Danio rerio: one gene and its partners. The protein of the gene in region 3 purifies or fractionates together with the protein of the main gene of each other region. This does not show direct contact. Links are inferred from orthologs where the notes say so. Each region holds a gene or a part of one and is shown on either strand. Other genes may lie near its edges.

What was found.
Region 1: the proteins of ncbp3 (region 3) and thoc5 purify together in Homo sapiens (co-immunoprecipitation; 3 studies listed by BioGRID and IntAct, with this or other methods). This does not show direct contact. The link is inferred for Danio rerio from reciprocal best matches to the Homo sapiens genes NCBP3 and THOC5.
Region 2: the proteins of ncbp3 (region 3) and thoc2 purify together in Homo sapiens (co-immunoprecipitation; 3 studies listed by BioGRID and IntAct, with this or other methods). This does not show direct contact. The link is inferred for Danio rerio from reciprocal best matches to the Homo sapiens genes NCBP3 and THOC2.

Annotation. Positions count from the first base shown.
Region 1 is NC_133200.1:4,395,080-4,399,693, reverse strand, and holds part of thoc5 (THO complex subunit 5 homolog), read right to left. Parts: intron 3,174-4,614; coding exon 3,065-3,173; intron 2,985-3,064; coding exon 2,883-2,984; intron 1,687-2,882; coding exon 1,590-1,686; intron 1,412-1,589; coding exon 1,300-1,411; intron 1-1,299. UniProt on the Homo sapiens protein: Component of the THO subcomplex of the TREX complex which is thought to couple mRNA transcription, processing and nuclear export, and which specifically associates with spliced mRNA and not with unspliced pre-mRNA.
Region 2 is NC_133189.1:13,018,192-13,022,805, reverse strand, and holds part of thoc2 (THO complex subunit 2), read right to left. Parts: intron 3,988-4,614; coding exon 3,846-3,987; intron 3,760-3,845; coding exon 3,602-3,759; intron 2,018-3,601; coding exon 1,889-2,017; intron 206-1,888; coding exon 74-205; intron 1-73. UniProt on the Homo sapiens protein: Component of the THO subcomplex of the TREX complex which is thought to couple mRNA transcription, processing and nuclear export, and which specifically associates with spliced mRNA and not with unspliced pre-mRNA.
Region 3 is NC_133196.1:33,673,253-33,678,665, forward strand, and holds the start of ncbp3 (nuclear cap-binding protein subunit 3), read right to left. Parts: upstream 3,387-5,413; 5' UTR 3,310-3,386; intron 3,094-3,309; 5' UTR 3,019-3,093; coding exon 2,929-3,018; intron 2,851-2,928; coding exon 2,745-2,850; intron 178-2,744; coding exon 52-177; intron 1-51. UniProt on the Homo sapiens protein: Associates with NCBP1/CBP80 to form an alternative cap-binding complex (CBC) which plays a key role in mRNA export. NCBP3 serves as adapter protein linking the capped RNAs (m7GpppG-capped RNA) to NCBP1/CBP80.

The DNA of each region.
Region 1 (4,614 bases), on a different chromosome or scaffold from region 3:
AGGGTTAGGAGGCCATGATGGACAGAGGCCAGTGGGCAGATTTGGCCAGGATGGCGGGGTTAAACCCCTACTCTTTTTCGAAGGACATCCTGGGATTTTTAACGACCACAGAGAGTCGGGACCTCGGTTTAACGTCTCATCTGAAAGACGGCGCTCACTGAGCAGTAAAGAGTCCCCGTCACTATACTGGGGCATTAGGACCCACACAGACCGCAGGTTGGGCGCCCCCTGCTGGCCTCACTAACACCACTTCCGGCAGCAACCTAGCTTTCCCAAGTGGTCTCCCATCCAGGTACTGACCGGGCGCAGCCCTGCTTAGCTTCAGTGGGTGACCATGTGAGAGTTGCAGAGAGCTAGCTGTGTTATTATTAAATAACACATTTTTCTTCATTTACTTTTAATTATATGTTATTATTAATAATTAATAATATTCATCTATGTGAAGACATTGATCATGTTAATGATTTCTCACAGTAGTTGTCAAAAATGATTTAACAAGTCAGATAATTATCAATATGGAACACTTCATTTGTCTGAAATTGTTTTTTTATTATATAACTTAAAGTAATTTTCAAATTTAAACCAATGCAAGTGTGATTTAAAAATAATACCTATAAAAATATTCGATGCATCTTACTCATGTGTGGTGCTATGGTGAGCTATATTTAGAACAGGCAACTCATGTGAACCTGGCGGGCTACCTTGTGCCCAAGGGCACCAATGTTGGTGACCCCTGATTTAGAACGAAAGTCACACTTCAGAAGTGATTCATTGATTTAATTCATTTAGAAATAAAGCAAGTGACCATTTAGGTAAATGAATAATTGATGTGATTTGTACTAAAATAAACTCATTCAAACAGAAAACAGCACATTGATTCTGCAAGGAATTGAGCTCGTTTTATAATAAAATAGCAGTATAATAAAATGCTACTTTTTTTTTTTTACTAATGATACACAAACAAAGAACGAATCTGCTATTGATTTTAGGAAACAAAGGCTGATCAAAATGTTTTTCGAGTTGCACTCGCATTGTGTCCAAATGAATCAGTCGTTTTGAATGAACCACTTGCATGAATGATCCAAGAAGTCACTCATTCAAACAGGTGCTTGTCGCCACCTACTGGTGTTTAAGTGTCATGTTATAAAATGCATGACGAGCCAGAAATAGGCAATGTACCAACAGAGTATCTTCAAAATCCCCCACAATACGTCAAATTAAATTTGTCAATATAACAGACTCCTAATTTTTGCAGTGTAAACTCAGGACATATAAAGGAGTAAAAGTGTCTGTTTTTACCCAGTGAGCTGAACTGTTTGTGCAGGGCGAGACGAGACTGTAATCTTCCTCGCAGCAGTTTCATGCTCTTCTCCATATGACTGGCACTCAGAGCACTGCCCGACAGCTCCGACTGAAACAAACACTCATTACTTTAAAATTCTGAGCCCTGTCATGAGAAAAATACATTTTACAGACAATACTGATGGCCAGTGTTATTTTGCATTCAAGATTCAACAAAACAGATGAAAAAAAAAAATGATATAAAACAAGTCATTTAAATATTTAGAAAGCCACACACACGCACACACCTGTGCAGCATCAGATGAGAACTGCAGACCGCTCAGTTTCTGCACCCAAACATACGGATGTCCGAGGTCTGACACATAATCAGCGAATGTAGTGATTCTGCACAAAAATTAAATTTATTCTTCATTGTGAAGTCAAACTGTTATAAAACCACAAATCAGGAAAATTATATATATATAAAAATATCACTCAAATGTAATAATAATAATAATAATAATAACAACAACAACAACAACGACAATATAAAATGTATGTATATTTTTCATAATTTTTTTCCACAAACATCTAATAATAATAATAATAATAATAATAATAATAATAATAATAATAATAATGAGAATAATAAATAATATAAAAAAAAATCGCATAATAATATTACAAATTTCTATATTTTTTATTTAATGATGACAAATATCTTTATATTAACAATAACAATAATATAAAAACTCATAATATAAATATTATATATTTTTATTTAATATTTTTTTCAAACATCTAATAATAATTAATAAAACTCATATTAATCATACAAATTATATATTATTTTATTTAATACTTTTTTCACAAACATCTAATAAAAAAATAAATCTCATAATAATACAAAATTATACATATATTTTTTATATTTCTTCACAAACATCCTTTTAATCATAATGATCCAAAAAATCTCAGAATAATACAAAATTATATATTTTTATTTAAATTTTTTCAAACATCTTTATAATAATAAATAAATAACATAAAATGTCAATACAAAAATACATCTTTTTATTTTAAATAAATTTCAAACATCTAAAAATAATATATAATAATATAAAATCTCATAATATTAATACAAAAATTACATATTTTTATTTAAACAAAAATTTTACCATCTTTATAATAATAACAACATTATAAAATTCATAATAATACAAAAAAGAGAATTAATAATAAATAATAATTTTAAATATCCATTAATTAAATATCTGAAATTTTAACCATTGCATAAATGCCATATGAGAAGCGAACGCCATTTTCATTACAAAAGTCACAGCAGTACTGCAAAATAATATTTTAAATAAATAAATATTTAAAACAAATTAAAATATTTAAATAAACAGAATAAAACATCTGCTAAAAAACGACTACAGAAAGCATTTAAACTATTTTTCATACAACAAATGAGACAAAAAAAATTATATAAATGTTTTCAGTTTTACATTTGAAAACAAATCCAGAAAAAAATATAGATCCATGCTTTATGTATTTGCTTTTTTCAGCAACACTGATATCAATAAAAAGTGCAGACGTACCCGACTTTATCAAACTGGTAGCGGTTTGCAGGGTTTGGGGTCTCATTACCATGATCTGACGCATAAAGACAGTTCAGCAAACTCTCCGAGTTCAACAGCTCCCTGCGACAGACACACAAACACATTAGAAAACATCAACTACATAAATGATGTATATTTCTGACCTGCGGTGTCACACTGACCCTGCGCTGATGGCTCCAGACAGATCAACAGATGTAGAAACTTTGGTCTTCACAGTCAGAATGTTGAGATTCATGAGATAATAGAAATACAGATGCAGGACGCTGCCGTCTGAAGAAAGATATAATCAAGGTATAACATGATTAGATTAAACGACTAGAAGAAATGACTTTATATTCAGCAAGGATGCAGTAAATTAATCAAAAATGACCAGAACTTTTAACTCAAAGAAATTGTAATACAGCTTCCACATTAATCTTGTGGCCCATTTCCACTGAGTCGTACAGTACGGTATGATACGTGTCAGTATGGGTCACCTTTATCAGACTTGTGTTTCCACTGCTAAAAGGGTACCAATGGTGGGCGTAGTGTACAACAAAGTTTCAACTTCATTCTTGCTAGAGGAAATGTCTACTGTAAAGCTGTACGAGTTGTTCACATATCATATGAGAAGCACTTCTCACAAAACAGATGCTTTACACACATAAATACTTGTGCATGAATGTTCATTACTAACCTTTCTATTAACATGATTTGATCATAACTGCAGATCAATGATGCGAAATAACCTACTGTAACGTCTGTAATTATATAAAAATAAATAAATAAATGAACATATATGAACACATACAGACCCTTACAGTCTCCAATGTTACCAACTACAGAAAAACTACACACAGCAGACATTTAGTCCTTATTTTGGGATCAAAAACAACACATATAGCCCACAGTCAGTGCAAACCCCTCATCTGCATCTTTAATCTTGACCAGCACATGTGACCTCTGTTAGAGAGTAATTCCATCATTCTGAGTTCATAATAATCCAAAAGGCGATAATAAACTTGGCAGTTTGTTCATGTTTTAGGTTGCTGAAAGAATCATTTTTTTTCTCCTTTGTTTTTTCGGCTTCTCCTTTGTTTTTTTGCACTTCACTCTCACGTTTGCCTGTTTCTGAAAGGATGGGATGTCAGAAGCACTTCAATAATCACACACACGTTATAATCATCAGCTCAAGAAGATTGTTATTTCAAATATAGACACGTGGCGAGCACAATCGAGAAAGAGCAAGTGGGAAAACAAAACCGATCACGAATTAGATAGCCTTGTAAACAAATATGGGCCACAGGGTAGATTCTGCTCTTCTTCTTGGCTTTGTGGCTGTTCATCAAGATGACGACAAGGTTTGTTTGAGCTAGGGTCGACCATGGCATGTTATTATATGTATATCTTATTACAGTGTAATGTCTCGGCTGTGTATTTAAAAATGGTGCTGCCTTTGTTTTCATTCTCCTGGCTTGTGGCGTATCTCTGTAAACCAATAGCGTTCAGTTACGTGTCTTACTCCGCCATTTGGTATTCTTTTGTCGTGCTAGGTACCCTTTTGTTGTGCTTTGTACCCAAAAAGTAATACGGTACGGTTCGCTTTTAGATACCTTTTGACAGTGGAAACGGCCATAAAAGCGTACCGAACAGTACCGTACCATACCACTCAGTGGAAATGGTCCAATAAAGGGACAACACACAATCTAAATCACTAAATGAAACGTAATAG
Region 2 (4,614 bases), on a different chromosome or scaffold from region 3:
CAAGCCTCTGGTGTGAAAGTAACAAAACAATTTTGTTATATGAGTAATAAAAATCGTATAGTAAAATACTCACTTTAGTCAACTTGTAATGCCATTTGTGGACAACATGTCGAAAATTCTCATAGTCCAATTGATCTGCTTTGTTCCCTCCGTCGAAACCACTGGCTCGGAAAATAGTCAGGAACCCTGGGTAATTACCACATTCCTAGCAAAAGAACCAATAACAAATTAAAACTAGACAAACATAATACAGTATATAATATATATATATATATATATATATATATATATATATATATATATAAAACATTAACGTATGTATTAGGGATGTAACGGTATTGTAAATACCGTCATACCGCAATATTAATTTTTTTCGATATTACCGAAGTCGCATGACTCGGTAAAACTATAGGTCTCCTGAGAAAATTTGCTCAGGCGAATGAAGCGAACGGGACGTAGCTGAAACTTCATTTCCCATCAGCCCCGGCGTGGCCATAATCCTTTGCGGTCTGTTGTCGCTACAGATCCAGTAATGCGGAAATGGAGTGTGCTGCTAGTAGCGGAGATGAAAAAAAGATGGAAATGATCGAACCTAAAGCGGGTGTTGTCGCCGCGCGCGTGCTGAATAGCGGTGCTGTCGCGCGCGTTCTGATCAGCTGTGTTGTGGCGCGCGTTCTGATCAGCTGTGTTGTGGCGCGCGTATTGTAAAGCGCCGAGGGGGGGTTGAGCGCGCATATTCAAGAGAGGTGTTGTCGCGCGCCTACTGAAGGGCTGGACTGGACGGAGGGTGTGTCGCGTCGCGGGGGCACTTTTGATCGTTTTGGAAGGGCATTTTCTATCCAAGACTAAAAAGGGCATGTGCACTGCACAGGTTGAGCCCTATGTGTGCACGTGCCTGCAAGTTGGGGAATACGACTAATAACAGTCATGGGGACTGCAGAAACACAGCACACTGTTCAGATTGATGCAGACATTGACTTGTACTGCAAAGAGACCTCTATCTCACTCATGATTTGTCTTCTCAAGTGGGGGAAAGACAATGCACAATGTTACCCCACTGCTGTCAACCTGGGCCAAGTCATATCTCTCTTGTTCCAGAAACCTCAGTCCCAAATGAGAGGGGTTTTTTTCTGTTGCAGGGGACATTGTAAATGCCCAGAGATACCAGCTTTTACCAGATTATAATTATATGATAATTTTCCTTTAAACCCATCTCTATCTAAGTGAGTGAGTGATTAAATGTTGAATGTGATGAGTTTTCAACAATACTAAATTGAAACTTTATTTTTTTACATGGTTTAATATTTTTTTGTTATTAAAATTGAAGTTAGTGTTTCAAAGCTTACAGATAGATGGCTAATTTGTATGTCATTGACACTTTTGGCACTTTTTTTGGAGTATTTTCAAAAGTTTTTTTTTTCCTGTAAATGATTCAATAAATACCGTACCGTGACATTCATACCGAGGTATTACCGAACCGTGAAATTCTGATACCGTTACATCCCTAGTATGTATGTATGTATGTATGTATTTTTTTTATGAATTTATATATATTTTTATTTATAACAAATTTACCAGTAAGGACCTATTTACACATACAGACCTTTCCGGAAAATTGCTGGTAATTTTCCAGAAAGGTCTGTATGTGTGAAAGGGGCTCATTTCTACACGTTTCTTAAAATCAGAATAATTTATTGTTACCAAGTTTCATTTTAAAAAGACAAAATCATTTTGTTATTTAATAAGTAATTACTGCAAATTATTTTTGATTTCGTCATTTTTTTGTTTGCAAACATCTAAAAATTCACAGTTCACAGCTACTACTAGGACAGTGTAGAGACAGCATTAACAGTTTAAACGAATCATCAATCATAAAGGCACACCATACCTTCTCATAAATGGCTCTGTCACTGTGCCATCGAGTGACAGTCTCTAACATGCAACACAAAAAACGACCATATCGGCGGGACTCATTCTCTGTGCAACTCGCTACCGTATAGATGATATCAGAGAAGACCTAGATGAATAAAGAAACAGATTTAGAGGGTTAGTAGGTTGACAATGCACACAGGGTCATGGATTTTTAATGAATATAAAATGATTATAAATACTTTGAACATTTAGATAAAAACTAAATGACAGCATCAAACTTGAATGCTAGATAATACTGTATTCTCTTTGACTGCAGTCACTGGCACAGAAACACATGGCAAGCAAGCTGTTGTTTAGCAGAATTAAGGGTGCTTTCACACCTTTGAATCGATTCAGTTGTCCCGAAACAGGGATTAAAATTGTTACATTGTTGCTCTTTGCTCTTGGTCCGGTTCGCTTTCACACTGCAAAGTTTATAAACGGACCAAAAGAACTAAAACAAGTCATGTGTGAGTAAACTTTCCTCACATAGAGTCCTGCTCAGCTGTCAGGTGTGGTAGTGATTTGGTATTGTTTGACAGGGTGCACGCGACGTGTCTGAAGAGCGAGGAAGGATAAGGTGGGAAGGGGTGAGAAGGGTGTGCAACGTATTTGAGGAACGGGAGGGAGATGCGTGATTTCCGGGACATTATCGCTCGTTTACGGGCATCCTGGAGTCTCTGTGCATTTGCGGCAGACCTCCGAAACTTCTGGGAGACTTGGGATGTCTGTTGAATGACCTCCCGCCCTACTAATAATTTTCTTCATATAGCCATATGCCTATTATAATATCCATAAAACACTGTGATATGACTGGGCACGGATCGTATCGCTTTCTCGCTACAATCGATCCACTCCAGAGTTCGTTTCAATCGAGCCAAGACCATCTCGGAGCTATTGTTTTGGCGCAGATCAGAGCGCGATTGGTGGTTTCACATATGCCAAACGAACCGCGCTAACTCTGCAAAATGAGACGGGTTCCGAAACAAAAGTCTAGGTGTGAAAGCACCCTAAGATGGCATTTTCATGAAGAGATTACACAACTGAGCATAGCTGTGATCGTCATGCACATCTTGTCAGGGAATCACAGTTGTGTGATCAATAGTAAATCTACCAAGGTCAGAGGGCACTTCAGCATGAACAATAATTACATAATTACAGAATAATCTAAAAGAAGCATTTATTTTAGATACTCCTCATTTGTAGTAATTTCACATGCAAAATTTACTACACAGCCCTAATTCATTGAGAAACAATACAGACACCTCTCATTATCTCGGTGTCCTTACTGTCCAACTAAATCAGTTTTGACTTTGTAGCTTGTCCATTTGGTTTATTTATTGCCACATCAGCAACTTATTGCCATTGGATGGCATAATCAATAGACATTAAACATTAAACAATTGACATTTTCATGTCAATATATGATAAATAACTAAAAATTCTCCCTGGGTATATATTTTAAATTTGTTGGTTTATGAAGTATGATTTTGAGAAGTAAATGCTATTCTGAAAGCATGTGCTGGAGGTTTACTACAAGCAGCTTTATAAACAAAATGCACATGAAAATCCACTCCAATTAATTGCCCAGGAAAGCCCAGACCAAACACACACACACAAACAAATATATATTTTATAGCCTGTTTGTTGAAAGTGCCTTTAATGGTCTGTCATACAACAGTAGACTCACTCTGTCATAGCAAAGTAGGGTGCAGAAGTTGGGCGTTTTCTGCTGGTGAACCAGCTCCACAAAGCGAGCGCAGTAAACAGCATCAATGGCTGAGAAGACACAACGGGGGAAGATGCAGAGCTGAAGGAACTTAGTGATGGTTTCATTCTTAGTGGATTCTGAGGAGGGAAAAAAAGGCATGAGTCCAAAAAAAAAAAAAAAAAAAAAAAAACCTGAGCACAAAAGAGATTATTCAAACACTCACTGGCGAGTAACCAATTGTCTTTCTCCAGTTTGAGACGATGCAGAACTCTCTGCACATGCTCCAACTGTTTCTTCTCCTCTTCTTGTAGCTTGTCCTGCAGAGCTGTACAGCGTTCCTTCTCCTTTTTCTTTTTATTTGGAGGCTACAATGTAGAGAACAGTTTTATGAGAAATATCTGATGGAAGAAAGACCCAAAGATTCAGCAGTGTCTCTAGCTATGTTATGGTGTTAGAAATATACAAGAAATTGAAAATATCTAAAAAAAAATTAAAAATAAAAAACAATGAGCTGAAAAATCAATCTGGAGAGTTTGATCGGCAGTTTCCACAACTGCCAATACAGAAGAGCTGATCAGATGACACAAAATGCATGAGACATTTTTTTTCATAATGCAAGCATGGCAGTTCTACAAGGTCTGTGAAATATGTCTTATGTGCTTATGCAGCAGACTGTGGCTGCATCCGAAACCACCTACTACTCAGTAGGTACTGCATTTGAATTTAAACGTACTACTCGGTCGTTAGAAAAGTACGTTCTATACAGTATGAATGTGAAAGTATGAATGGAATTCGGACGTACTACATCCGCCTTTTCATCATAGTCACGCAACCTACCTGCGTAATTTGTGTCGCTTCACTCCCATTCATGAATTCTCTCGCAGGGCATCATGGGATAGCGCAGTGTGCATGGGATGCGCACTCCAGAATTTCGCCGGAAGTAGTGAGTCATCCAGGTACTTCTCGCATACTTATTTTCGAATTCTAGGAAT
Region 3 (5,413 bases):
AAGTATAATTTTGTCACTTTGTGGTAATAATATCTGTGAGGGTGTACTTACAGGAAGCGTCATCTATCCACTCGATGTGTGCAGGCGGATACTCTTTAAAGTAGCCAAAAACATCCTGAGTGCTCATGTCATCGACTCCACTCATGTGTAGAGCTTCCAGACGCACTTTCGGGATCACTAAAGAGAGAGAAAACACAGTCTGTAAGAGCGGGAGAGATGCGAAATCAAAATATGAACTAGGGTGATGTCATTTTTAAACAAAATCTTCCAAAAACGAGGTCCATTTATAAGATTTTATAGGTGGCACGGTGGCTCAGTGGTTAGCACTGTCCCCTAACAGCAAGAAGGTCGCTGGTTTGAGTCCCAGCTGGGCCAGTTGACATTTCTGTGTGGAGTTTGCATGTTCTCCCCGTGTTCACGTGGGTTTCCTCCGGGTGTTCTGGTTTCCCCCACAGTCCAAATACATGTGGTACAGGGGAACTAAATCAACTAAATTGTCTGTAGTGTATGAGTGTAAATGTAAGCGTGTATGGGTGTTTCCCAGTACTGGCTTGCGGCTGGAAGGGCATCCACTGTGTAAAACATATGCCGGTGTAGTTGGCAGTTCATTCTCCAGTGGTAACCTCTAAATATGAGACTAAGCCAAAGGGAAATAAATGAATGATCATGTTGTTTTAAACTAACCTACTGTCTTGCATTAACCGTGGAATTCAAAAGTAGATGTTTTAAAGAATGATCACACTGCTCCTTTCCATTTTACAGAAATACAGAGTTTTGAACTATATTCTATAAGTGTGCAACAGATCACAGTAGATCCATGTATGGATCGCAACCCATTGTTCAGCATGCAGATTAGCTACAGATTAATAACTTTTTATTTAATTTAAATTTAAATATTTAACAACTGCACAGAAAATAACGGTATGTTCTGCTAATTATGCTCAGCGTAAGTCAGTGTTTATCAACCAAACTCCTAAAGGACCACCAGCATTGCATCCTTTGTCTGTTACACCATTTCAGATCCTTCAGTCTCTGCTAATAGGCCGATGATCAGAATCAGGCGTGTTTGGTTAAGGAGACATTGAAAATTTGGAGAGATGGTGGTCATCCAGGAACATGGTTAAGAAACACAGAAGTTGAAGTTTACAGGAATGGGAGAGAATATCTCAAAGCCTCTTTCCGTGCTAAAAATCTCATGTATTGGAGTATTTTTGCTATTTTGTAGAATTAAATGATGGTGGAAGAAGGGTGGTGGACACAGCTGGTACACTGTGTGAGACACTAGGTTCTAGAATCCTTTTAAGTAGGCTTTGTCTCAATAGTATCTGTCTGTGGACTGCAAGACGGGCATAACTTGTGGTAAGATAGAGGCGTAACCTGCAGTTATCGAGATTCCATTGAACCATGCGAGATGTCACAATGAGATGTTGTTGGCAAGATGGTGGAAATATTTACCAGAGAACATTTACACCAAATGTTTTCATAAGTTTTCTTCAAATTCTCTTGATATATTATTATATTCATTCATTTAGTAACTCCACCAGGCAACTTTTTTTCAAATATGAAAGCCTCTTTAACTCGTGACTGTACGTAAATAACTGTGATGGTTGGATTTAGGGTTGTGGAAGGTGTAGATGGATAGGAATAGACGTTTATTACAATGATGGTTGGGGAAGTTGTAGACGTTAATAACTATGATGGTTGGGTTTAGGGAAGGAGTAGTCGTTATTAACGATAATGGTTGGGCAAGGTGTAAAAGTTAAGAGCTATGATGGTTGCGCTTAGGTTTGGGGAAGATGTAGATGTTAATAATGATGATGGTTAGGGAAGGTGTAGATGTTAATAATGATGATGGTTGGGTTTAGATTTGGGGAACGTTGATGGTTGGGCAAGGTGTAAACGTTAAGAGCTATGATGGTTGGGTTTAGGTTTGGGGAAGATGTAGATGTTAATAATGATGATGGTTGGGTCTAGATTTGGGGAAGGAATAGACATTTATAACGATGATGGTTGGGGAAAGTCCAGACGTTAAGAACTATGATGGTTGGGTTTAGGTTTGGGAAAGAAGTATATGTTAATAACTATGATGGTTGGGTTTAGATTTGGGTAAGGAACAGATGTTAATAATGATGATGGTTGGGGAAGGTGTAGACGTTAGTAACTTTGATGGTTGGGTTTAGGTTTGGGGAAGATGGAGACGTTAATAATGATGATGGATGGGAAAGGTATATACGTTAATAATTATGGTGGTTTGGTTCAGGTTTGGGGAAGGAGTAGACGTTTATAACGATGATGGTTGGGGAAGGTATAGACGTTAAGAACTATGATGAATGGGGAAGGTGTATGCGTTAATAATTATGATGGTTTGGTTCAGGTTTGGGGAAGGAGTAGATGTTAATAACTATGATGGTTGGGTTTAGGTTTGGGGAAGGAGTAGACATTAATAACGATGATGGTTGGCTTTGGGCATGAAGTAGGTGTAAAATGTTAATAACTGATGTACAGCACCATCTTGCCAACAACACAGTTTTGATGTGGGTCTCCATAACTTCAAGTGACGCCCTATCATGTGACACCCCTGTCTTGCAGTCTGTAGACAGAACCTACTCCTATGTCTTACTATATCCTATACATATGCTAATAAGAGCTAAAACACAAGTTCAGACATTCAGAAAACAGATATAGTTTTCACTTCATGTTGAGTGTAAATCCTGTGTTGATCTACAGCTGTGTAGAATTCTCACTTTTCTTCAACAAATCCCGCTCCAGAACCACATCCTTCTGTGTCAGATTTTCCTCTGCACGAAAATGAAATCTTCTTGCTCGCTTCTCCTTCTTCTCAATGGCCTCCTGTGCACATGTAAACATGGTGAACAACAGATCCATCAATAGACATCCTGATAATTCACACAGACAGCTGACACTTACTTTAGACGTGACATCAATGCCAGTGATGAAGGTGCCAGCCTTATTTTCATATCGCCGGCTGGTGTCCTGTGGAACCATACATAATCTCATTGAGATCCATGAGGGCAGCAAATACACCTAAATATTTTCAGTAGTCGGTCTTGGAACGTGTTACCTAAAATGCAGCTTTGTACCATGATCAACAATCACCATAATGCATCAAACAGTGCGCCAAATGAAAAGTCTGTTAGTATCAGGAAACTTGGCCCAGAGAATTTTAAACACTTTCATAAGATCTTCCGAAATAACAGACCAACTGCACACATTATACCAATGTTGCAGAACTAATTACAAACGCATTGTTCAAAAGCAGAATGTACTCTCTTGCTCTTAACTACCCACCGCATTGGCTTCAACAACCGTCGGCTTCCTGTGCTACGCGAGGTCGCGGTTTGAATGAGGCCTACGGGGTAACTCACCGGCAACAGCTCCTTTAAACTTCGGCGAACAGGTATGGACTCCAGTTCCACCTCTCCTTCCTCCACCTCCATGGGTTCCGCTTCTCGGGCATCTCGATCCGAGTCTGATTCTGAGTCGGACTCTGAGCGATCGGACGCGCTGTCGGACTTGACGGACACCCGCAGGCTGCGCACCGCCGCCATGATCGTCGAAACGAGCTAGCGGCTAACGGCTAAATCTCAAAGGGGTGAATGGAGAAGCAGAGGCTACACTGCACGACTCTCTCAAACACACACGCTCATACACACACACACACCGCCCAGATGACAGACACTGGTGGATTGAGACCCGCCCTCCAACACTAGATGCATATATGCAGCTGCGATACACTGAAAACGGATTACAGTATATGTGTGCATGTATGCGTTACCGTTAGTAGTATAACGTTATAACGTTAGATTTTAAATGATGCTAATTTATCACTCAAACTAAACTAGACTAACTAACCTCAAGTCATGCTTTACAAGTAGATTTTCTGTGTGAAAAGTTAAAAGAAATGCTTTAGGGACACTTTTAAGGCAATTATTTTAATAATTAATCAATAATAATAAATGTATTTTAAGTAAGAATTTGTCAGAATTCATATTGTCTGTGATGAACAAACAATTACACTCAAATGTAGACTATTTGGATACAATAAATGTTTTTTTCTAAATAGCATTTTGTATAATATAATAAATTAAAATTTGTGTGCTTATTAGTGTGCTAATTATAATTAATAATTATATTATTTCATCCTTTTTACCTAACCCCAGAGCTATCTATCTATCTATCTATCTATCTATCTATCTATCTATCTATCTATCTATCTATCTATCTATCTATCTATCTATCTATCTGTCTATCTGTCTGTCCGTCTGTCCGTTCAATGCAAGATTAAAATTAGATTAATTCTAAATGGTAGTATGTAACTGACTACAAATTACTTGATGAAATGTATCAGTAAAGTAATCTAGTGTATTCTAACTACATTTGGATTACTTTTGGCCAAACTTTAATCTACTTTTGGTCTGTCTGTCTGTCTATCCATCCATCCATCCATCCATCCATCCATCCATCCATCCATCCATCTATCCATCTATCCATCTATCTATCTATCTATCTATCTATCTATCTATCTATCTATCTATCTATCTATCTAAAAGTAATCTAAAAGTAATCCAAATGTACTCAGAATACACTAGATCTATCTATCTAGTGTATTCTGAGTACATTTGGATTACTTTTAGATTACTTTTGACCTAACTTTGTAGCCTAATAGCGTTGTATTACTAATGTTGTCCCCAAATTTAATGATTGGGTCATAAATTAATTTACATTTTCTATGAAATTTTATATTGTCATTTTTCAAATTATATCAAACACAAAATAAGTTTTAGAAAAAAAAAACAATAAAGGGGAAAGAGAGCAAATTATGAATGAATTGCAGTGAATGATCTGTCATTTTCAACCCATAAAAAAGTACATTTAATACGAGCTGATTAAAGTAAAACAAACTATGTGTAAAAGACAAGCATTTGGCTGCTTTCTGACTATCCATTATTCTGTTTTCACCATTGATTTAGATTTTTCGATTGATCTTATTTTCAGATATAAACTGTTCTACATAACAAAAAAGTCAGCTACATCATGGACGGCCTGAGGGTGAGTATTAAAATTAATTTTAATTTATATTAAACATCTAAATAATCCTCTGAGCCACCATACACACTTGAAACAGACTGATAAAACTGATATAATTAAATCAGGAGACCTTACAGAAGCTCCAACATAATCAACACCAAAGCAAAATACAATATATTTATTTAACAAAATCAACAGTGCCATACAGAAACCTTTACACATGTAGCAGTACAATCAGAGAGAAATAAATTAGCACAGCTCAATTTATTAAGCAATAAAACAAAGAAACCCTTTTAATACCAGAAACAAAATGGAGAATTCCCTCTAAAAGTGTCACACTTTGCACTTTTGAGCCATTTGTAAC